Linked DNA regions of Oryzias latipes. Each later gene encodes a partner of the first gene's protein in a complex. Links are inferred from orthologs where the notes say so. Each region holds a gene or a part of one and is shown on either strand. Other genes may lie near its edges.

Region 1 (10,036 bases):
ACAAACTTTTATGTAATTTAGATAACAATATTTCACTTCCGACAACAAAATGGGATGCGGATTTGAGCATCAGCACAGATGAAAGTTTTTGGTCAGAACTTTGTCTAAACACCTTTAAAATGACAAAAAGTCCAAATCTGCAGCTAATCCATTTCAAAACTCTTCACAGAATTTACTACACTGGACAGAGGATGTTCAAGATGGGTCTCAGTAACTCAGACATTTGTCAGCACTGTGACAGTAATCTACCCGACAATTACATGCATGCACTATGGTTCTGCACGCCTGTCCAGGCTCTCTGGCAGCAGGTATGTGCCGATCTATCAGTCTGGCTTAAGCTTTCAATCACAGCTTCACCGTCACTTTGTGTGCTTGGTGACATGAGTGCCATCGATGTAGAAGGAGGATTAGGCTCTATCATTTTCATAACTCTTTGCATTGCTAAAAAAACTATTTTAATAAATTGGAAAAGCAAAAAAAATATAAATATAAGTCAACACAGAAATCTGCTGCTTGATCATATCAGCTTGGAAAAAATGTCAGCCCAAGGTTCAAGTAACTTTGAAAGAATTCGGTCTCTCTGGTCTCCCATAGCTAACTCCGTGACTTAGGGGGTGGGGGGGCATGGTCGTCGCTGCTCCTTGCCCTTCTGCCGTGGGCCGGGGTGGGGGTCGGGGCCTCCGGTGCCTGGCCGGGGGTGGTGGGGGCTCCGTTGGTCGGTTCCGGCGCCTGGGTGGGGCGGCCTGGGGCGCTGCGTGGTCCTCTGGGCTTGGGTGTGGGGGTGCGTGGTGGGGGGGTGGGGTGGTGGTCTGGCTTGGCTTGGGGGGTGGTCCCTTTGCCTGTGCTGGGGGGGGTTGGCGGGGGGCGCTGCTCGGGGGTGGGGCCCAGCGGCGCTGGATGGGCTTCCCATCTACACCTGGGGCTGGGATCGGCCCTTCCCTGGCTCTGGGGCGGGACGGGGCAACCCTCTTGGGGCCCCCGGTCGCTCTGGGTGTCCTCCGCTTCGGCTGCGGGGTCTGGGGTGGGGGTGGGGTGGGGGTCTTGTCGGCCCTGTCCTGTGGGGGGGCATTCTGGGGGAGGGGGGGGGGCACTATTGGTACGGGGCAGAGGGGGTTGACGGGTCGGGGTCTCCGCTGAGGCCATCGGCGGTTTCCCCGGCAGGTTGGCTGCCTCGGTCCCGTCGAGGCCTGACCAGAGCTCTTCTAGGGCCGCCGTTTGGGGGTGGGGGCCTGGGCTTGCTCCGGGGGGGGCCGGCGCTTTCTGGCTCCTCTCTCTCTGTGTGGGGGTGGTGGTGCTGGGCCTGGGGTGTCTGCGCCTCCGGGGGTGGGGCCCCGGGGCTGGGTGGGCCTGGCCCCCTTGCTGGGGGGGGGGGGGGGGGCGGGGGACAGCTGTTTGACCACCGGGGGACAGTCTATCATCTGTCCCCAACTTACCCCCTTCCTCATATAACCTCATAATAGGGTGAGGGGGTGGGGGGCTTAGCCTGCGATGAGCCTTGGGGGGGGGGTTTACTAGGCAGTGGCCCCCCTCCTGTGGTTGCCGTATGGAGTGGGCCCCCCCTCTTTCGGTTTTATTTGCACCTTAGACATGTAGGGCCCTTGGTAGGGGGGGTGCTTGGACATCACTGCCAGCAAGCAGCGGATGTCCTCCTAGCACCCTACCCGCCAATTTTAACCGCACCTTAGACATTTAGGGCCCCTTGGTGGGGAGGGTGAGGGGACGTCACTGTGAGTAATCAGGAGATGTCCCCTTAGTGCCCTACCCGCCAATTTTAACCGCACCCCCCTTAGTACACACACCCCTCCCCCCTCAATATATACATCCCAACATAAACACACCCACATGCACACACACACCCTTTCAAACACATCTACACGCACACACATTTTGCAAGGAAGGTGGGACCTGGGTCCGTCTGTCCCCTGCCTCTTCCCTGGTGGGGGGTACGGGCCCCTTTGCAGCGGCGGCCGTGTCCCCGGGGTGCCGGCTTCCTGGGCCCGGCGGTGCTCTCTCCGCGCGGTGGGGGGGTTCACATTACATCTGAGCCGGGGGTGTCTGGTCCCTGGGGGGTGGGTTCTGGTCCTTGCTCCTGAGTGCTGGGCCCCGCCAAATTTCCAACTGTGGCCGAGCCTGGTCGGGCCATATTTACAACACCCCTTGTGGGCCCTCTTTTTTCCCCGGGGTTCCCCCCTCCTGGGCGGGGGCGGCGGGCCCCTGCCTCGCTCCTCCCTGGACCAACCGTGGACCGGGCGGGTGGCTGCCTGGAGTGCGGAGCGGGTCTCCCTTGGGGGGTCCTGGCTCGTACCTGGGGTTGGGGCGGGGGGATGCCCGGAACTCCTGGGTGGTGGTGGGGTGCTCGTTTGGGGCTGTGGGCGTCCTTCTCCGGTGGGGCCCTGCGTTGGGTTCTCCCGGCGCGGCGGGGGGGCTGCTCTCCTGGTTGGGCGGGGGCGGCGCTGTCTTTTCCTCTGTGCGTCCCTGGCCTCTGGCTCTGGGGGCCTTGCGGCGGCCCTGCTGGCCCTGGCCTGGGTGGCGGGCTTGGTCGCCCGGGCGGCGGTTGTTCCCTGCCGGTTCCCGTGTGGCGTTGGGGGGATTCCGGCTGCCGCTGCTGCTGCGGTGGGGGTCTTGGGGTGGGGATGGCTGGGCACTCTCCCTCCTTCTTTTCACGTTCCACCATCCATTTTAGAAGAACACCTGCAGCTAGCAGGTGTGTTTAAAACATTTGAGTGTGTGTGTGGACAGGCTCCGCCCCTTTTTTTTCTTTCTTTTTTTCTACATTTGAACCTTACCATAATGATTAACAACCAGTAAACTTGTTGCTTTATGCTGCTTCATGGTCTTATCCCCCTTCCCCTCCTATTATCACCCCCTACCCCCCCTCTCTCTAACGTCCCTCTCTCTTCTTCCCCTCTTTCCTTTTCCGTCCGGTCCAACACCAAAGATTTTCAGACATGATTGAAATTAATAAAGTTTGGCCTCAATTACAAAAGGGGTTTATTCAGACATACCTTTGGTTTGTCTGAAGATTAATAACCCCTCTTGTTAAAGTAAATTATGTCCAACACAAGAGGCCCTCAGCTCTCATCTGTCTGCCTAGCTGTTGGACAGGACAAGTTAAAAAAAAAAAATGATAATTTGATCAGAACCGGATTTCAAAAACTGTAAAACTATCAAATATACTAACTCAGTAGGGGTGGGGTTATATAAACCCTCTTCATCCCGCTTCTTTTCAAGCAATAAATCAAACTCCACTTAACTTTTTGTCTTTTTAAGCTATGCATTTTATCATTTCTGTAATGAGTTTGATAAATATGTGAAATTTTCTTTATTTCTTTGACTACAATGATTGAAATTAATCAAATCAAATCAAATCATGAGTGAAGAGCTTGAAACCACCGACTGACAGTCTCTACAGTCCCAAAAGTTTCTCTTTGATCAAGAAACGGTGAAAAGTAACAGGTTCCAAATCGACACTTTTTGCACAAAATGACAGAATGAATGTGTGTAGCAGACCCTGCTGTTTAATGAACTTACACACCAAAAAGAACTTTGATAAGAACGCGAAAAATGCTTTAAATGACGTTATAATTTAGATTTTACATTGCACCAGCAAGCAGCACTGATTTGATGCAACGACATGCAGATTGTTGAATTCACTTGCACAGCAATTCAAATGAAAGGCCAGAAAGAAAGTAACAATTCTCTTGCAATTTTCCAAATAAGTCCGGCAAGCGCTGGACTTTTTTCAGTACCGTCCCAGTGTAGGTACCATAACAGTTCGGCCTGCAACAACCGTTCAGGGTCCTTCGACTAGTGCTGACGTCACATTATGTGATGACTGTCTGTTGGTCCAATGACGTGTCAGGTAGTGATTGGTCTGGACAAATGACAATACTACCATAGAAGAAGATATTATACGGTCCGTTGTAAACAAACAGAGCTCCGACACAGAGCGACATTATCTTCTAAACGTGCTTTTAATATTATGATTATTATTAGGTGCATTGCAGATGAATGGACTGCGTTCAGAACCCTTCTCCAGACCGCACACTATGACAAAGCAGCTTCCCTGCCTGTAAACACGAAGCTACGAGACTCCAGCTGCTCTGCTCAGAGACAGGGTTCACTCTGTGGAGCAGCAGGTTCATTCTAGCAGCCACAGATCTTTACAAAGGGGGTTGTGGCAAAATCTCTATAAACACTACAAAGAATAATGTCAGACACAACTTAAGAGGGAAAAGAACTTTATGTTATAAAAGGAAACGTGAAATGAGAATATGTAGAGCCCGAGCAGATCTCCACGCTACGTAGTTTGTCCAAGTGGGGCTACCGTAATGTGACATCATCCTCAGTCGAAAGGACCCCAAACGGTTATTGCAGGCTGAATGGTTATGCTACCTACACCAGCTGCTGTTGAACAAAGGCGGCTAAAGCCTGGACAGTCTGTCCCAGGGCCCATGGAGCTGGAGCGGTTGATCTCACTATGCGGCTCCCAGGAGGCGAGCTGGGGGCCAGACAGAGACCTGCTGCAGGATGGGGAGCCAGCCTGCTCTGACCTCCTGAACTTTAGGTTTTCTTTCAGGTCTCTCTATATATAACATATATATAATCTCATCATCCTCTCCCTCATGGTGCAGAGACCTAAGCATAGTAGGACAAATAACTGGGCAAAACACAATAAAAACAGCTAAACAACTAAACACATTTGGTCAAAAAGCCACACTTAAACCCAAATCCGTCCAGACAGGCAAAGGGAATGCTATCCCACAATCCCTTGCGGTGCCGATCTAACAGCAGCACCAAAGTTACACCTACTCAATTGAATTAATTTGAATGAAAGTAAAATAACTGTCTGACAACTATGTGTTATTTTTAAGTTGACTGAACTGAAAAAAATTATTTATCTTAACTGAAGCAAATAATGAAGTTAGATCAAAGTAAAAAAGTTTATCTTTCCAACATCCATATGTGGTCTTATCACCCTCTCATGGTGTAAAAAGTATTATCTGAGCTTCTTCATCCACTAAATCATCTTCAAATGGACACGCCATGCTGCTTCACCTCTCTGTAAACAAACTAACCTTCAACTAAACCTGCTCCAGACCAGGTTATGTTCAGAGCATGAGTTGCTATGGCAACTTGACATAACCTGAAACATACCTCTATTTCTGGAACTGAAAGCTGAGGTTATCAACTTCCTTAGCCTCAAACGTACCGAGGGAGCTAGCATAACCTGCTTTCTTTTTTTTTTTTTTTAATAAACTTTATTGAAGATATACAAGATACTCATTCAAGTAAATTTTAAGTACACAGATAAAAAAAAAGAGTAACAAAATGTGCCAGGGGAACAAAAGAACAAAGGAGAAGAAAGAAGAAAAAAAAAATTATAAACAAGAGCAGAAAAAGCAGTAAGTTGCTATTCTGTACATTTAAAAAAATTCCAGGGTGTCAAAGGTTCTTATAGCTTTGGGGTTGGAAGAATGTTTTATTGCTTTGATATATTGGTTCAACTCAATCATAAAAAGTTTGAATAAGGGCTTTTTTTCAGAAAATTTGCATTTATGTATGTGGAATTTGGCTAGTATTATCAAAAGGTTAATTAAATAGTATTCCCTTCTTAGTGAATTATTAACACTATAAAAACCAAATAATATATCCTTGTATACCAAATCAAATTTTTCATAAATTTAACATCGAACAAAGGAGGTAAGGTCTTTCCAAAAAATTGCTGTTGGGGGGCATTTCCAGAAAAGATGTATAATTGTTTCAGTGTCTAATTTACAAAAGGAGCAATTTTTATCAATGTCTATGTGTAATGAGGATTTGGCTGGGTAGCATCTGTGAAGAAGTTTAAAACAAACATCCCGGGGTTTATTTGAAATAAAATATTTAGAGGACAAAGTCCAAACTTTCTTCCATTCAATATCTGGGGCAATTTTTCTCCAATAGTGGGTGCATAACCTGCTTTCTGGAATACTCCCCTGGGCCTTTGTGACGTCACAACACCGCATTAGTTCAAACAGAGCGTCTTTGAGACAGTTTGATTGACAGCGGTTTAAAAGGAGAAACACTCAGAAATGCAAAAATGAAACCATGTCTAATTCCATTTGTTGTATTTCATAAGACAAATACCACAATGTCACAAAACATGATTTTCATCAGAGGGGGACTTTCAGAACCGGAGCAGAACCCAGAGGGGCTTACCGCAGGTCTCTCCTCAGAACTTCCTCGATGAATCTTTCATACTGAAGGACCTTCTCTTCCATCCTCGAGTCAGAACCGGCGTCTGTGGGCGGAGTCATCGGGGATGGGGGGCTAATGCGGGGGCTCTGCGGGCCGGTTCAGCTCAGACACTTGTAAAGAAGTTCACAGCCCCACATGCAGTCATCTAAACAAGATTCTGAACCGGAAGTACTCCGACAAGATACTTCCAGGTTTCAGCGTAGAAGAGGAGCAGAAAAAAGAACATTTAATTTCTTTTTATGTTTAAAGCACTTTGTGCAAACAGTTGTTATTTGGTCATTTTCACTTACATTTATTCTTCCATATTCTACCAGATATATAGAACGTGGCAATTATTCATAAACTAATTCCCGGGTTAAACCTTATGTGAATATGAATTTTAAAATATATATGTTTTTGTTTAATGGCTGGTTGTGCTAATTTTATTTATTCTTCTTCGTTGTTTTATTTTCGTTGATTTGGATTGTCCTGTGATGACGTCACTGTCAACAAACATGGCGGAGAGCTGCGTTGACTATAGTTGAAACGTTTTCAAAATATCTCGTCAAGTGCCAAAGGACAGCGCACATTTGGTGTCGCGTACATGTCATCAGCTTTACGCATCAAGTAAATATCCAGCACTATACTAAATATTCAACGATATACTAAAGTTTCGTAGTTTTATTTATCAGATGTGACCGAGGCAACATCAGCGCCCACTTCCGGTCTCGTTCCGTTCAAAATGTCGTGCTTATTTTGGTTGGACGCGCCGGAGCCCCGCTCTTAAAACCCGTGGACTAAAAACCGTTAAGTAAAGGAACAAGTCCAAGTCCATAAAGATCCCCGCTGCAGCTGCAGGGGTCCTGGATGATCATGGAGCAGTACAGCATCCTAGGCCGGATTGGAGAAGGGGCTCACGGAATCGTGTTTAAGGCCAAGCACGTGCAGGTGAAACATGTTCATGGAGCAGAAAAAACAGACACCTGAACAGGTGATCATTCAGGCTGATGGATGAACGTGTTTCTGACAGACCGGGGAAACTGTGGCTCTAAAGAAGGTGGCTCTGAGGAAGCTGGAGGACGGCATTCCCAATCAGGCTCTGAGGGAGATCAAGGCTCTGCAGGAGATTGAGGACAACCAGCACGTGAGTGTGTACAGTCGTGGTCAAAGGTTTGGAGAATGACGTAAATATTGTTGGAAATTGGAAAATAATTGCTGCTTAAATACATATAATAGCATTTTGCATATACTCCATAATGTTATGATGATCAGATGAATTGCATAGTCCTTCTTTGCCATAAAAATGAACTTAATCCCCCAAAACTCTTTCCACGGCATTTCATTGGTGTCATTAAAGAACCAGCTGAGATCATTTCATTCATCGTCTTGTTAACTCAGGTGACAATGTTGACGAGCACCAGGCTGGAGATCATTCTGTCAGGCTGATGGGGTTAGAATGGCAGACTTGACATGTTAAAAGGAGGGTGATGCCTGGAATCATTAATCTTCCATTGGTAACCATGGTAACCTGCAAAGAAACGTGTGCAGCCATCACTGTATTGCATAAAAATTGATTCAAAGGGGAGGGTATTGTGGCAACTAAGATTGCATCTAAATCAACAATTTATAGGATCATAAAGAACATTTTTGGAGAGACGCCACTTCTCTCCAAAAACATTTCTGATTGCTTGGGGAATCTGCAGAAAAGGTGAGCGCTACCATCAGTCCTGTGTGACGCCAACAGTAAAGCATCCTGAGACCATTCATGTGTGGGGTTGTTTCCCATCCAGGGGAGGGGGCTCACTCACAATTCAGCCCAAAACACAGCCATGAATAAAGAATAGTACCAAAACACCCTCCAACAATAACTTCTTCCAACAACATTTTGGTGACAAACATGCATTTTCCAGAACCATGGAGCACCGGGCCATAAGGCTAAAGTGATAACTAAGTGGCTCTGGGACCAAAACGTTGAAATTGTGGGTCCATGGCCTGGAAACTCCTCAGATCTTTTGGTCAATCCTCAAGAGGCGGTTGGACAAACAAAAACCCACTAATTCTGACAAACTCCAAGAAGTGATTCTGAAAGAATGGGTTACTATCAGTCAGGAAGTTGATAGAGAGCATGTCCACTGGAACTGCAGAGGTTCTGAAAAAGAAGGGCCAACACTGCAAATACTGATGTCATTGTTGATAAAAGCCTTTGAAGCGTATGAAGTGCTTGTAATTCTATTTCAGTTATATTACAGAGAAAACTGAAACAAAGATCTAAATGCAGGTTAGCAGCTAACTCTGTGAAAACTACGATTTGAGTCATTCTCCAACTGACTGTACAGTCATGGCCAAAGGTTTTGAGAATGTGGGAGGTTTTTTTGGGATGATGTTAATTTTCATGGCAAAGAAGGACTATGCAATTCATCTAATCACTCATAACATTCTTGATTATATGCAAATTTCTATTATAAAAACTTAAGCAGCAAAAAAACTGAAACAAAGATCTAAAGCAGTGTTGCAGCAAACTTTGTGAGAACTAATATTTCTGTCATTCTCAAAACTTTTGGCCACAACTGTACAGTACTGAATTGTTCTATACAGCAGAACAGCATCAGAGAAAAGAACAAAACAGGATTTGACAGAGACTAAGGATCTGCTAGAGACTGGGACACGACAAAAAGCACTGATCTGGCAGAGAGCAGGGAACTGATAGAGACCAATGACCTGACAAAAAAAAGTATCTGATAAAGACTTGGACCTAACGGACATCAATGACCCAATAGACCATGCTGAGGCTAGAAACCAACAAACTTACTTGGAACAAGGACCAATGACCTCACAGAGAACATGGACCCAACTGAGACTGGAATTGTTTGTCACAATGTGACGTGTGGGGTTCGGGTCTGCAACGACGAATGTCGCGCATTTCATCAAGTTTCCTCAATGTTTAGTCGGTGGTTTTGGGGACCTATTTTATCTTGTACCTTTCACGAAGCTGTGATATCGATCCAAATCATGAGAAAGCCGCCGTTGGCTCACAAAAGTCTGCTACGTCTACTGTACCTTGTTCTGAATCTAAATCACAGTATAAGCTATCCCAGTAAGCACATCAACACATATATTAACACGCGGAAACCAAGTTCTTCAGTGGTGAAGTGAAGATGTGCAAACAACATGCGTGTGTTCGGCAACCTGAGACCACAGACCTGACTGAGACCATGAAGGTGACAGACTCAGGGACCTGACGGAGGCTGTCCAGGCTTGTCATTGGTCTGAGAAGGGAATACCCTTTAGTCAGCTGGACTTTGGTGTTGACTTGAAAAGGTTGTGGGTGAGTGAAGCCTCTCTGTCTGCCTTTTTCAGGTGGTAAAGTTGAAGGACGTCTTTCCTCACGGCACAGGCTTTGTCCTGGTCTTCAACTTCATGCTGTCAGATCTCTCTGAGGTGATCAGAAACCACCAGCGACATCTGACCCCAGCACAGGTCAAAGGCTACATGGTGATGTTGCTAAAGGGTGTGGCCTTTCTACACCAAAACAACATCATGCATCGGGTGAGTGCCTGTGTGTAGAAAACGTGGTAGTCAGGTTTTTCTCTTGGTAAAGGAAGGAGCCAAAATGTAGTGTATTTGCACATTTCCTTTTCTACTTAGTAGTTTTGCATGTTTCACCTTTCTTAATTTGTTTATTAGCGACCCCTGGGTGGAATACTAGATGAGCACTTTCTCACCTGCAGTTGGAATGAAGGAGAGGAGATCTTGGGGTGTTTATTTCTGTTGACCGCTGTTTCGTGCCACTTTGTTGCTATCGGGTTCTTTGCGGTCA
Region 2 (9,726 bases), on another chromosome or scaffold:
GTTTAATGAATATACAGTATATCAGAACCTCAAATTTCTTTTAATTTGATCTCATCCAGTTATTCTCTCAAAGATGGTAAATTGATTTTTTTTTTCAATAAGACTGGTCTACTTTGTTTGAAAGCACTTTAATATGTAAACCGCACAGGCATAAATTCAAACCAGCAGTTGAACATGAAGCTATAACTGTCATAACTGTTTTTGCTGCTCATTAAGTTTAAAAACATTTTTTCTTTTTTCAGAAGTCCAGTTTATGTTCATGAAATATCTGGACGTTTCGACGTTGGAAATTTGCCTTCCTATATTGAGTGTGACCTTTACTTTAAAAACAATCTCCAGGATGTAAATTCGTATATGGTTTAAAGAAAACAAGAACAGAAAGTTTTGGACCATTTACAAAATAATAATAATTCTGTGCCCAAATAAAAATTGACTCACAAAAAAAGAATCATGAATGTAAATAATACTTTTAATGTTGGATGTAATATTTTCCAGCAAATATATTTTCAAATAAAAAATAAAATGTTCACAATCTAGTCGTAAAGCAGTCGTGTGCATTTGTCAGAAGCCTTTTCGTGGCCGTCTTCCATCTTTGCGATGCGAGAGCCAAACTGCATGGCTCTCTTGGGGAGGACGGCTGATTGGCCGAGGCCCAGCTGTTTAGCAGACAGTCTCAGGAGGAGCTTCTCCCCGACCCCCCGAGGGAGAGACAGATCAGCCTTCTCCCACACAGGCAAGGAGTTCAAGTAGTTCACCACTTCTTCATCCAAGTATGGAAACCTGTAGATACAGCAAATGTTATCACACAGAGTGACAATTATGCTATGATAACTGGAGACAACAGTGTTCACATAGATTCTATTTAACTGCTGATGCAGGTCATATACAGTTGTATTTATATAAAAAATGTAAATCAGCATGACAGACTTTTAAATTAAGTGGGAAACTTAAAAGTTCCAATTACGAACACAGAAAAATACCCAAGATAGATGTATCCAAACGGATACATCTGCTTTCTTTACTTATATCTAATCAAACTAGTTGGTCTTTCAGACCCTCATTTATTTTGTGAACATGGTTGTGTATCACTGGTAAATATGCAATCAGTTCAATTTTGATTCACAAGTTTTTGAGTCGTGTTAAAATATAGATTCAAAAACAATTTTATTTGGTAATAAAAAACAATGTTCAGATAACCAGTGATATAAACTGAATAATGGTGGAAGTTTTGTTAAAATCCTAATTACAATAAAAATGAACAAAGCAGTCTTAAACGACATTTTGAAAGCTAAACTGGAATATGGCCATATTCTCAGTGAACAGGTTTGTGATTATATACAAAAACGTAAACAAAAACAGTTTGAGCTCGGTGATAAAGCTGATTGTGTTCTTGCCAGACAACTCAAAGGTGTCCGGGCTGAAAGGGCAATTCTTAAACTAAACATCCTTTAATGGTGAAATAGTTACAGATCTACTTAGAATAAACAAAACATTTCATGATTTCTACAAAAACGTGTACACCTCAAAAGCTGGGTCCTCTAAGGAGGAAAAAAATCAGTTTTCTTAACAACCTTGACACGCCCACTTTAAGTGATACAGCAAGACAACACTTGGAAGCTGATTTCACGCTGGAAGAAGTTAAGTCTGACATCCATTCATTTCTAAACGACAAGGCTTGCGGACCTGACGGATTTGGGATAGATTTTCTTTTGTACAATTCGTATAGAATTATCAAGCAAATTAGGAAGGTACTCAGTCTGCCGGTCTTATCTATCCACGCTCCCATTTGCCTGAATCCAGCTTTTCAACCAGGTCTGTGAGAGCCTGCATTTACAGTCCGGGATAAAAAGGGCCTCTCATCCATTAAGGATCTCTACATCGACAATCATTTTGCACCCTTTAACCAACTGCAAAAAAAGTTCTCTCTCCCACCGGGTCATTTTTTCAGGTATTTGCAAATCAGACACTTTGTTAAACAAGCTATAACTCAGTTTCAACAACTGCCAACACAACCTATATTTGACAAAGTTTTGATTGAAGCGTCGACATCTAAAAATTTGATTTCAAATTTTGTCAGATGCTTTTATCGACCACCAACAACTGCTCATATTAAGATTGCATGGGCAGATGACATTGGAATAGACATCCCTATTGGTTTGTGGATAAGCGCTTTGAAAGGGATCAAGTCTTGTTCTATAAGTGCACATCTTAAACTCACACAGTTTAAAGTAATCCACGTTTGCATTACTCCAAAACAAGATTGCATACAATTTTTTCTTCTGTTTCACCAACCTGTGACCACTGTCAAACTGGTATAGGTTCTTTATCTCATTCATTTTACTCATGCCCTATGCTAACACATTTTTGGTCGGATATTTTTAAGTTGTTTAGTTCAGTTTACAATGTACAAATAACTCCCAATGTTCTGATTGCTCTGAACAACCAAATATTGCCAACTCAGAAGCTGTCCCACTCAACTCAACAAGCAGTCATGTTTGGAATGATTATAGCTAAGAAGATTATTCTGAAGGAGTGGAAGGCTTCTACTTCCCCTAGTTTCAGGGGCTAAAACCCAGCCTCTCATCTGATGACTATTGTTTACCTTCTTTTGCATTTTCGGGACGAATCCTTCTGTGTTGTTGCTGTATGTGGGTATTTATGCTGTGTTTCTCAATTGTACACTGGCGGCGTTTGTGTTGTGTGTGTTTAAAACTTTGTTAAAAAAGCAATCTTTTTTTTTTTTTTAAATGAACAAAGCCGTTTTTGCCTTAAAAAAATACAATAAATACTTAAAAGGAAACTAAATTCACAGATTTAATGAAGTTAGGATTCTTTTACATAAAGCTTAATTCAGTAATGTTCAACAATCATTTAAAATCCAGACCTATAATAAAAGCACTGGACATTATGGAATCTAGCAAGTTGTTATATGATCATGTCATGTTTCTCATATGCAAATATAACTAGGCTTGATTTAAAAGCATTCTTTCCCAAATAATAGTTTCTTTGATTTTTAAACAAGATGTTTAATATGTGACATTTTTAACATGAGTAGAATGCTATCATATTTATTGATTTGAACACAGAGGCTGCAAAATTAACAAATATGATACAATTTACTCTGCCAGAAAAACAGAAAAAAAATACAATCCCAAATGCGTGAACAAATGAACTATGAGTTATAGTAATTACACGTGAAAACCAAGTCTTTCCTGCCGGCGTGACCTTTGTTTCAACTCTTACCTAGCTTCTTTCCCATGATCTCCTATCACTCTGTCATCTCTGCCCAAGTTTCTGGATGATATTCTTGCCAGCTCCATGGCAAGTTCCTGAATCAGCCCTTCATGCCCAGACATTGAGAATCGTACTCTGTGTCTGGAGTAGCCTGCGAGCTGCTCATCTGCACCAATTCCTGTCAGAATTACCTGCAGGTGTAAAGAGGAAACACAAAATTTCTCTCCAACAGTCGTTTCAATCCATCATACTCCACACAGTAACCATAAACCACAACAGTGACAGATTAGTCAAGAGCAGGATTCAGAGTCTGATGTGTTTCACCTTAGCAGATGATGTGAAGGGTTTCTGCTCCTCCTCTTCTGTAATGACTCCTTTTCCTCTTGCTGCGAACCACACAGCACAGCCAATGCTATCATCTAGTACTGTATCCAGTGGATGAACTAAGTGGCAAATCCGCTCCTGTCGCATTTGTTGCAGCTCTTCTCGAGTTATGTTGATTTCAACAAAATTCCACTGTCGCTCAGGATTCAGGTCTTGTAATTCCTTGAGGCCAGCTTTCCCCGTTATCCTGTCCGGGACATCAAATGGACTGGACGACAGAGAACTGACCTGAACTGTCTCTGAATTGTTGGATTTATTTCTTTGTTTTTTGAGTTTCTTTTCAGGCTGCTTTTTTGGCTCTTTTAGTTTAAAGGCCACATTAAGAAGGTCTATTGGTTGATGAACAGGTACATGTTTGTCTGCTAAGACAGCGAGGATCATTGAATCAATGCCTCCTGAAAAGAGTATAGCAATGCTAGCCTGGCCACTGCTAAGAGGTAAATTATCTTTTGCCACAAAAGGCAACGAATGAACTCGTCGCCTCACCGCCTCACTCAGGACACCAATTAGACGGTTCACAACTTCAGTTTTCTCCTTGCTGATTAGAAACTCCTCTAGATTTCCTCCAGACACCTGTGAACTGGGATTAACTTCAACCTTTTTTTCTGGAATGGACATATTCAAAGGACAAACAGGTGAAGTGATTGATAAACCTGCTCGATTTATCTCAAAATTGCACCCACTAGGGACAGAGTTAACCATCATTTCACTCAATGATGGGTTTATGACATTTCTTGCCCAGGGAAAAAGCTCAAAGGACACAGAACCACTCTGTGCAGCTGCCTTTACATCAACCTTAAACACGCCAACAGCTGGGACTTCTTTCCAATCAGACTGACCCAGCGCAGAAATCCCAGCTGCCACTGAGGTCAAAGTGAAGACACTGATCTCGGCGTCATATTTCCACAGCAAGCTGCGCCTTCCAAAAAGGTCTCTCCCAAACCAGAGATAATCTTCAGCCTTTTGATAGAAAACAAATGCCCAAGGCCCTTGAATGGCAGACAGAAGTGCCAGAACCTCCAAAGAGTTTTTACAAGATGACAATTTCTGACAGATGACAGTGGTGTCATTCTCTTCTGGCATCACAGAAATCCCTCCAAAAACCTCTCCATTCCACATCAAGACATTTCCAGCGTCGTCTTGAAACGGCTGAAGAGTAAGGAGGCCTCTCATATGGAGAACATGGGCAGAAAATGAGCAGTGATAGCTCAAATCTACAGCAGGAAACGATAGCTCCCTGCTAGAGTTGGGGCCCCTTCTCTTCAGAAATTCATAAATTCTTTTGTCCTTCTCAAATTGAGCAGCTGACAAAGTCAACTGGAAAAAGATTCCACACATTGTTGCAGCTCTAAATATCCTGCAGTTCTTTTTTCAAGTAATCCAGTTCCTCTGCAAGAATAAAAATAAAAAAAGTTTTAAAAAAAAAAAGGTGAGTTATATTGTAGTATGGTACAACATTGTAAAAATTTCAATGCAAGAGGATAAATGAATACTAACACATACTTCTGCTTGTAGACAATGTTTGACTTCTGTCAGCCAGGAAGAAAATGTTGCTGTTTCTCTGTTGGATGTAAACTTTCTGAAGAAAAGAAAAAAAAAATCAATAAAAAATGAATTTATTACGACGGATGGATGGATTTATGGATGGATGGATGTAAAAAGGTAATTACCGTACCCTGTTCTTCTTTAGGTTAGAGAGTTCATCCACAACGACCTTTTGCTCTTTGATCTGGAAATTAGCAACAAGTTAACGTTAACAACCCTATGATGATGAAGCCATCAGGAGATGTATCCCATCATGTTAAGTTTTAATTTAAAGATCAGCAGTCCTTCATTTTTCCAGCAAACATGAGAAAATCGAAACTTATTAAAACAGTAAATACATACTATTGGTGCGTAAATACTAACAAAAGTATTGCTATTCGTTTTTCCGTTCTACTATACATGCTGAAAAAGGTGAATAAACATATCCGTGTTGTTTAGCCAGCTAACAGTAGCGCGTCTTTGATATAAAGTTACCTTTTTACTGAGTTCCTCTTTATATGTGGTTTGCTCTTGGGAATTATCGCTGTTATTGTATTTTTTTGAAGACATTTTCATAAAGGAGCCACGAGGGAAAACTTTTTATCTAATTTTTCTCTTAACAGCGTCTACTTCTGCGACAAACATGTCCGGATATGCGTCATAACCGTTCCGGGTGAAGAAATAGGTGGGGAGTTCGAAGCACACTGCCGCCTAGAGGCCAGATTTGTAAAACACCCGCTACACATCTCAGGGTCCGGGGCCTGCCAAATTATAGGTAACCAAGGGGTAAACACAGATTGAATAAGAATGTCTTTAAATAACAGATTTGATGTAATTTACTTTCTTAAGACTAAAAAAATAGTATTGGGCTACTACAAAAAAGTTTTTTAAACGGAATTGGGTTAAAATTTAATCAGCTAAGCAAGTTCGAGACAGAAGAAGTTAGACTTTTCTGTTTCTACCCGGTTTTAATTTTCATTTAAAGTGACACTTCCATATAAGAAAAAAGCAACAAAAAGAAACACTGATTAAATAAAATCAATTAAGCATAAATTAAATAATGAATCCATTGCACATCTGATATGTTGATCATTTTTGATCAGTTTTCAAAACCACCTGAAGCTATTAAGTAGTCTTTAAAAACACCCAATTAACTGTCTGTGTCTTGTTCCTTTTTTTCTTTTCCTTTTTTTTCTGACATCAGAGCCTCTGAAAGCTGCACCTTTGTTAACCCTACCCTTTACTTTAACCCCAGAAACACTTCTTAAAATATTGCTTTTGGGGGGAAATACACCTCCAGCCAATTGTTGCTAGGCTGGAACAGTATCTCTAGTTAAAAAAGTATTTTTTCATTGTTTACTTGTAAAACTAAACTAAAGTAGTGGCTGAAGACAAACCAACCTGCCTTGTCTTAAGATAATTTAGCTTTTTTATATTTTAGTTATAATATGACATGCTTTCATCTGCTGATGTTGAATCATCAAATTAAAAATAACACATGCAAGTGCATTTTTTCGGGGACTAAAGCTTTTTGTTGACTTGATCTGTCTGTAGACGAACAGATGCTTAACCCCCTTTAAAAGCAGTTTCAACCTAACCCCCACCTCCCTGCTCAAAGATCACACAACCAAAAAAAAATGAATGTTGAAATACCTGCTGAACTCTGCAGCTTATTTCAACCTTGTCTTTGCCTTTTTTCTTTTGAAGTCTCTCAGCATTTAAATAGCTTTTGCATACCTCATAGTTGTTTTGTTTTTTTTACTCTTCAGTTTGAGTCAAAACTGTGCCATGAAGCTCCTAAGATGGAGAGAAAGCTAAAATAGTATTTTTCCTTATTTATGCTGCTGGTGATCTATTATTATTGAAAAAAATAAAGTTTGCAGTTGTTGGTAGAGATCAACAGATGACACGAATGTGATTGATTTTTCTTCAGCAGTGGGTCAAACACCTTTTCAGTGCAAACACAACTGTTTCTAGGCAAACACACCTGTGTAAAGTTCTACATTGGTCTTAAACTGAATTGATTTAAAACAGTTTTCAACTGTTGGCTATTTCTTGTAGCATTTTGGACACAGTGAGCATGTCAAAAAGTGACCTTTGGTATTTATTTTTCTTTGGTGGAGTTGGCAGGCTCAGGGTCTTAGAGGTCTGAGGTACTGAGAGATATTCCCAGAAACAATAAGACCACAACAATATCATCCTTCTAAAATGGGTAAAGGTAATTATTATCATTGTTTCTGATGTTCCCAGTCACTTTGATGGTTATTTGTCTCAATGCAGACTTTCAAGAGCTTGCAGAAACCTCCAGGACAGCCTCCAGTCCTGCAACACATTTTTTTTTAAATCTTCAAAACCACTTTTCTTACAAGCTCTTTTGCAAAAGAGACTAAGGGTTCGGTCCAGGTGAGATTTTCCACGCTCCTTCTCGATCCCTTCTTTAGCCATGGCTTCAAGCATCAGGCCGCAGGAGCAGAGTCATATTTATATTTTTATTCTGGAGGGACAAATTTAGCCCACGTAAACACCGCTTGTTGTTCCAAAGCTGGGCTGTAGAAGGGGCAGACATACCTGCAGGTCACATGGCCACAAAATAACAGAGCAGCCGTCTAACCGCTGATGACAGCCACCTGAGACACCGGCCCACTAATAGTGTGGCTGGTAATCTGTTTGTACCAGCTCAATGTGCGCGGATTTTGAAAAGGATGAGAGTTTTCTGTGAACCCTGAATAGATCACAATGGGATTGGCATAGCTATTGTTACAACCTGACTCAGAATATATTCTTATGTTAGTGAAGGCTGCCGGTTTAGCTCCTTCATGCAATGAGACAGCAGACTAACTGCTTGGGGTCCAGGAAAAAATGCACCTGATTTCGTTTCACATGTCCAGAGTGTGGGTTTCACTTAAAACTACATATACATAAAACACAGCAGTGACATGCTGAATGGTTAATTACAGGAACAACAAAAGCAGCTGCAATTTTATAGTTATTTTGCTTTCTAAATTACATTATGCTATAATTCACAACCTGGGTGCTAACTTTGTATCAAGACAATCAATGGATGACACGGTTGTTGTCATGGAATCAGGGGTGTTCCTGCTCTCATCTAAAATCAACCATCATTTATTGTGCTGCAATTGAAGGGAGTATATTCATAGTTTCCATCAAAAAATTGACAAACATGTTTAAAAATCAGCAAAATCCTTTTGAGATTTTAGTTAAAGTTCCGCATTGTCATTTTCTCACTTGGCCTTTGTGGAGTTTCCTTAGTTAAAAATGAATATGTTGTCTTTAGCTGTCAGTTTTGAGGCCGGTGTAAACCTTTCAAATCATAAAAAAGTTTCCAAAACAGACTAGAGCCACATTGTTTTCATCAAATTTTTTTATGCTTACAAGTCTATAAATAGAAAAGAAAAGTTTAAACTTATGAGCTTTAAAGAATTTAAATCTTTTTTTTTTTATCAACTCATCATCTGAAAAACTTTCACCAAATTTGACAATTAACACAAACTTTGTAAATAACGTCCTCAATAAGTAAGTAGAAGAAAACAGAGTTTCGTCAAAGTTTGGTAAAGCCACTTTTTTGGTAAAAATTTGTTGGATCAATCTTGCAGAAGAAGAAAAAAGAAAAATCTAAAGCTTATTTGTGACCCTTTTTTAGGCCTAAAGCGCAGTAAAAATTTGACAGGGTGCATTTGTTTTGTGTTTGTTTGAGCATGCACACTGCAGAGAAAATCTATAAAAACTGGTCTGACCAGTTAAGAGATTTTGCGATTGTGGCCGTAAAGGTTAAACAAAACAATCCTAGATCCACACAAAAAACAAACACTAAACCAGTTTGAGAATTTTAAAGACATGATGAAAATGAATGGTACTTTTAAATAATCTTTATTTGCAACAAAAGCTTTAAAGATTTTTTTCAAACATTATATTCTTAGTTTTACATGTTAGAACAAAATTACTTTGACTGTTTTCTTTATTAAAAAAAATAGATTGTTGAGAGTTCCAGTGATATACTTGTGCAAAATTCTCCCAAAGTCTTCCCACAGCTTTCAGATAGGAGTCTGAGAAAGCCACTGCAATACTTCCACTTTGTATCCCTTTTTTGTTGAGTACTGGTGGCTGTGAGCCATTTAATGAGCATCGTTTTTCCACCAATGTCCACAAAAACTGGTTTGACATGATGTCTTTGAGCTGACAATGTCTGTAAAAATGTGCTGATGAGTGACAGCTGCAGTTCAGGGGGCAGACCTTTTTTCTGCCTGTCAGTCAGCTGTCGTTTCACCATGCCTTGATAATTATTGTGTAGGCATTTAAAAAAATAAGAGTTTGAGATTGCGTTTTTCCAAAATACTTTTGATGTCTTTTAGTTTCTTTAAAACACATTTTAAGTTTAAATAAAAAAAAAGCAAAAACTGCAGCTAAAAGGCTTTTGCGATTGTGTTGAATCAAGCTGAATTTTTTGAAAACAGTTTCACATTTTCAATCAAATTATGCTTTAGAGGTATATTCTTAGTCAGAAACACACCACTTATCCTATTTTTGTATTTCAGTACTGTCAAAAGTACGTGCAAGTTCTCCTAA

The links.
Region 2: uxt (region 1) and ASNSD1 upstream open reading frame protein share a complex: the UniProt entries of both Homo sapiens proteins name them as parts of the PAQosome complex. The link is inferred for Oryzias latipes from reciprocal best matches to the Homo sapiens genes UXT and ASDURF.

Annotation. Positions count from the first base shown.
Region 1 is NC_019865.2:33,762,322-33,772,357, forward strand, and holds the start of uxt (protein UXT), read right to left. Parts: upstream 6,423-10,036; 5' UTR 6,300-6,422; coding exon 6,202-6,299; intron 1-6,201. Other genes in the region: cdk20 (cyclin-dependent kinase 20), read left to right, coding at 7,087-7,167, 7,250-7,363, 9,577-9,765. UniProt on the Homo sapiens protein: Involved in gene transcription regulation. Acts in concert with the corepressor URI1 to regulate androgen receptor AR-mediated transcription. Together with URI1, associates with chromatin to the NKX3-1 promoter region.
Region 2 is NC_019879.2:16,669,740-16,679,465, reverse strand, and holds ASNSD1 upstream open reading frame protein, read right to left. Parts: upstream 5,798-9,726; 5' UTR 5,719-5,797; coding exon 5,638-5,718; intron 5,348-5,637; coding exon 5,294-5,347; intron 5,198-5,293; coding exon 5,122-5,197; intron 5,008-5,121; coding exon 4,967-5,007; 3' UTR 4,957-4,966; downstream 1-4,956. Other genes in the region: uncharacterized protein LOC101162167, read left to right, coding at 243-363; asnsd1 (asparagine synthetase domain-containing protein 1), read right to left, coding at 534-780, 3,244-3,425, 3,559-4,956.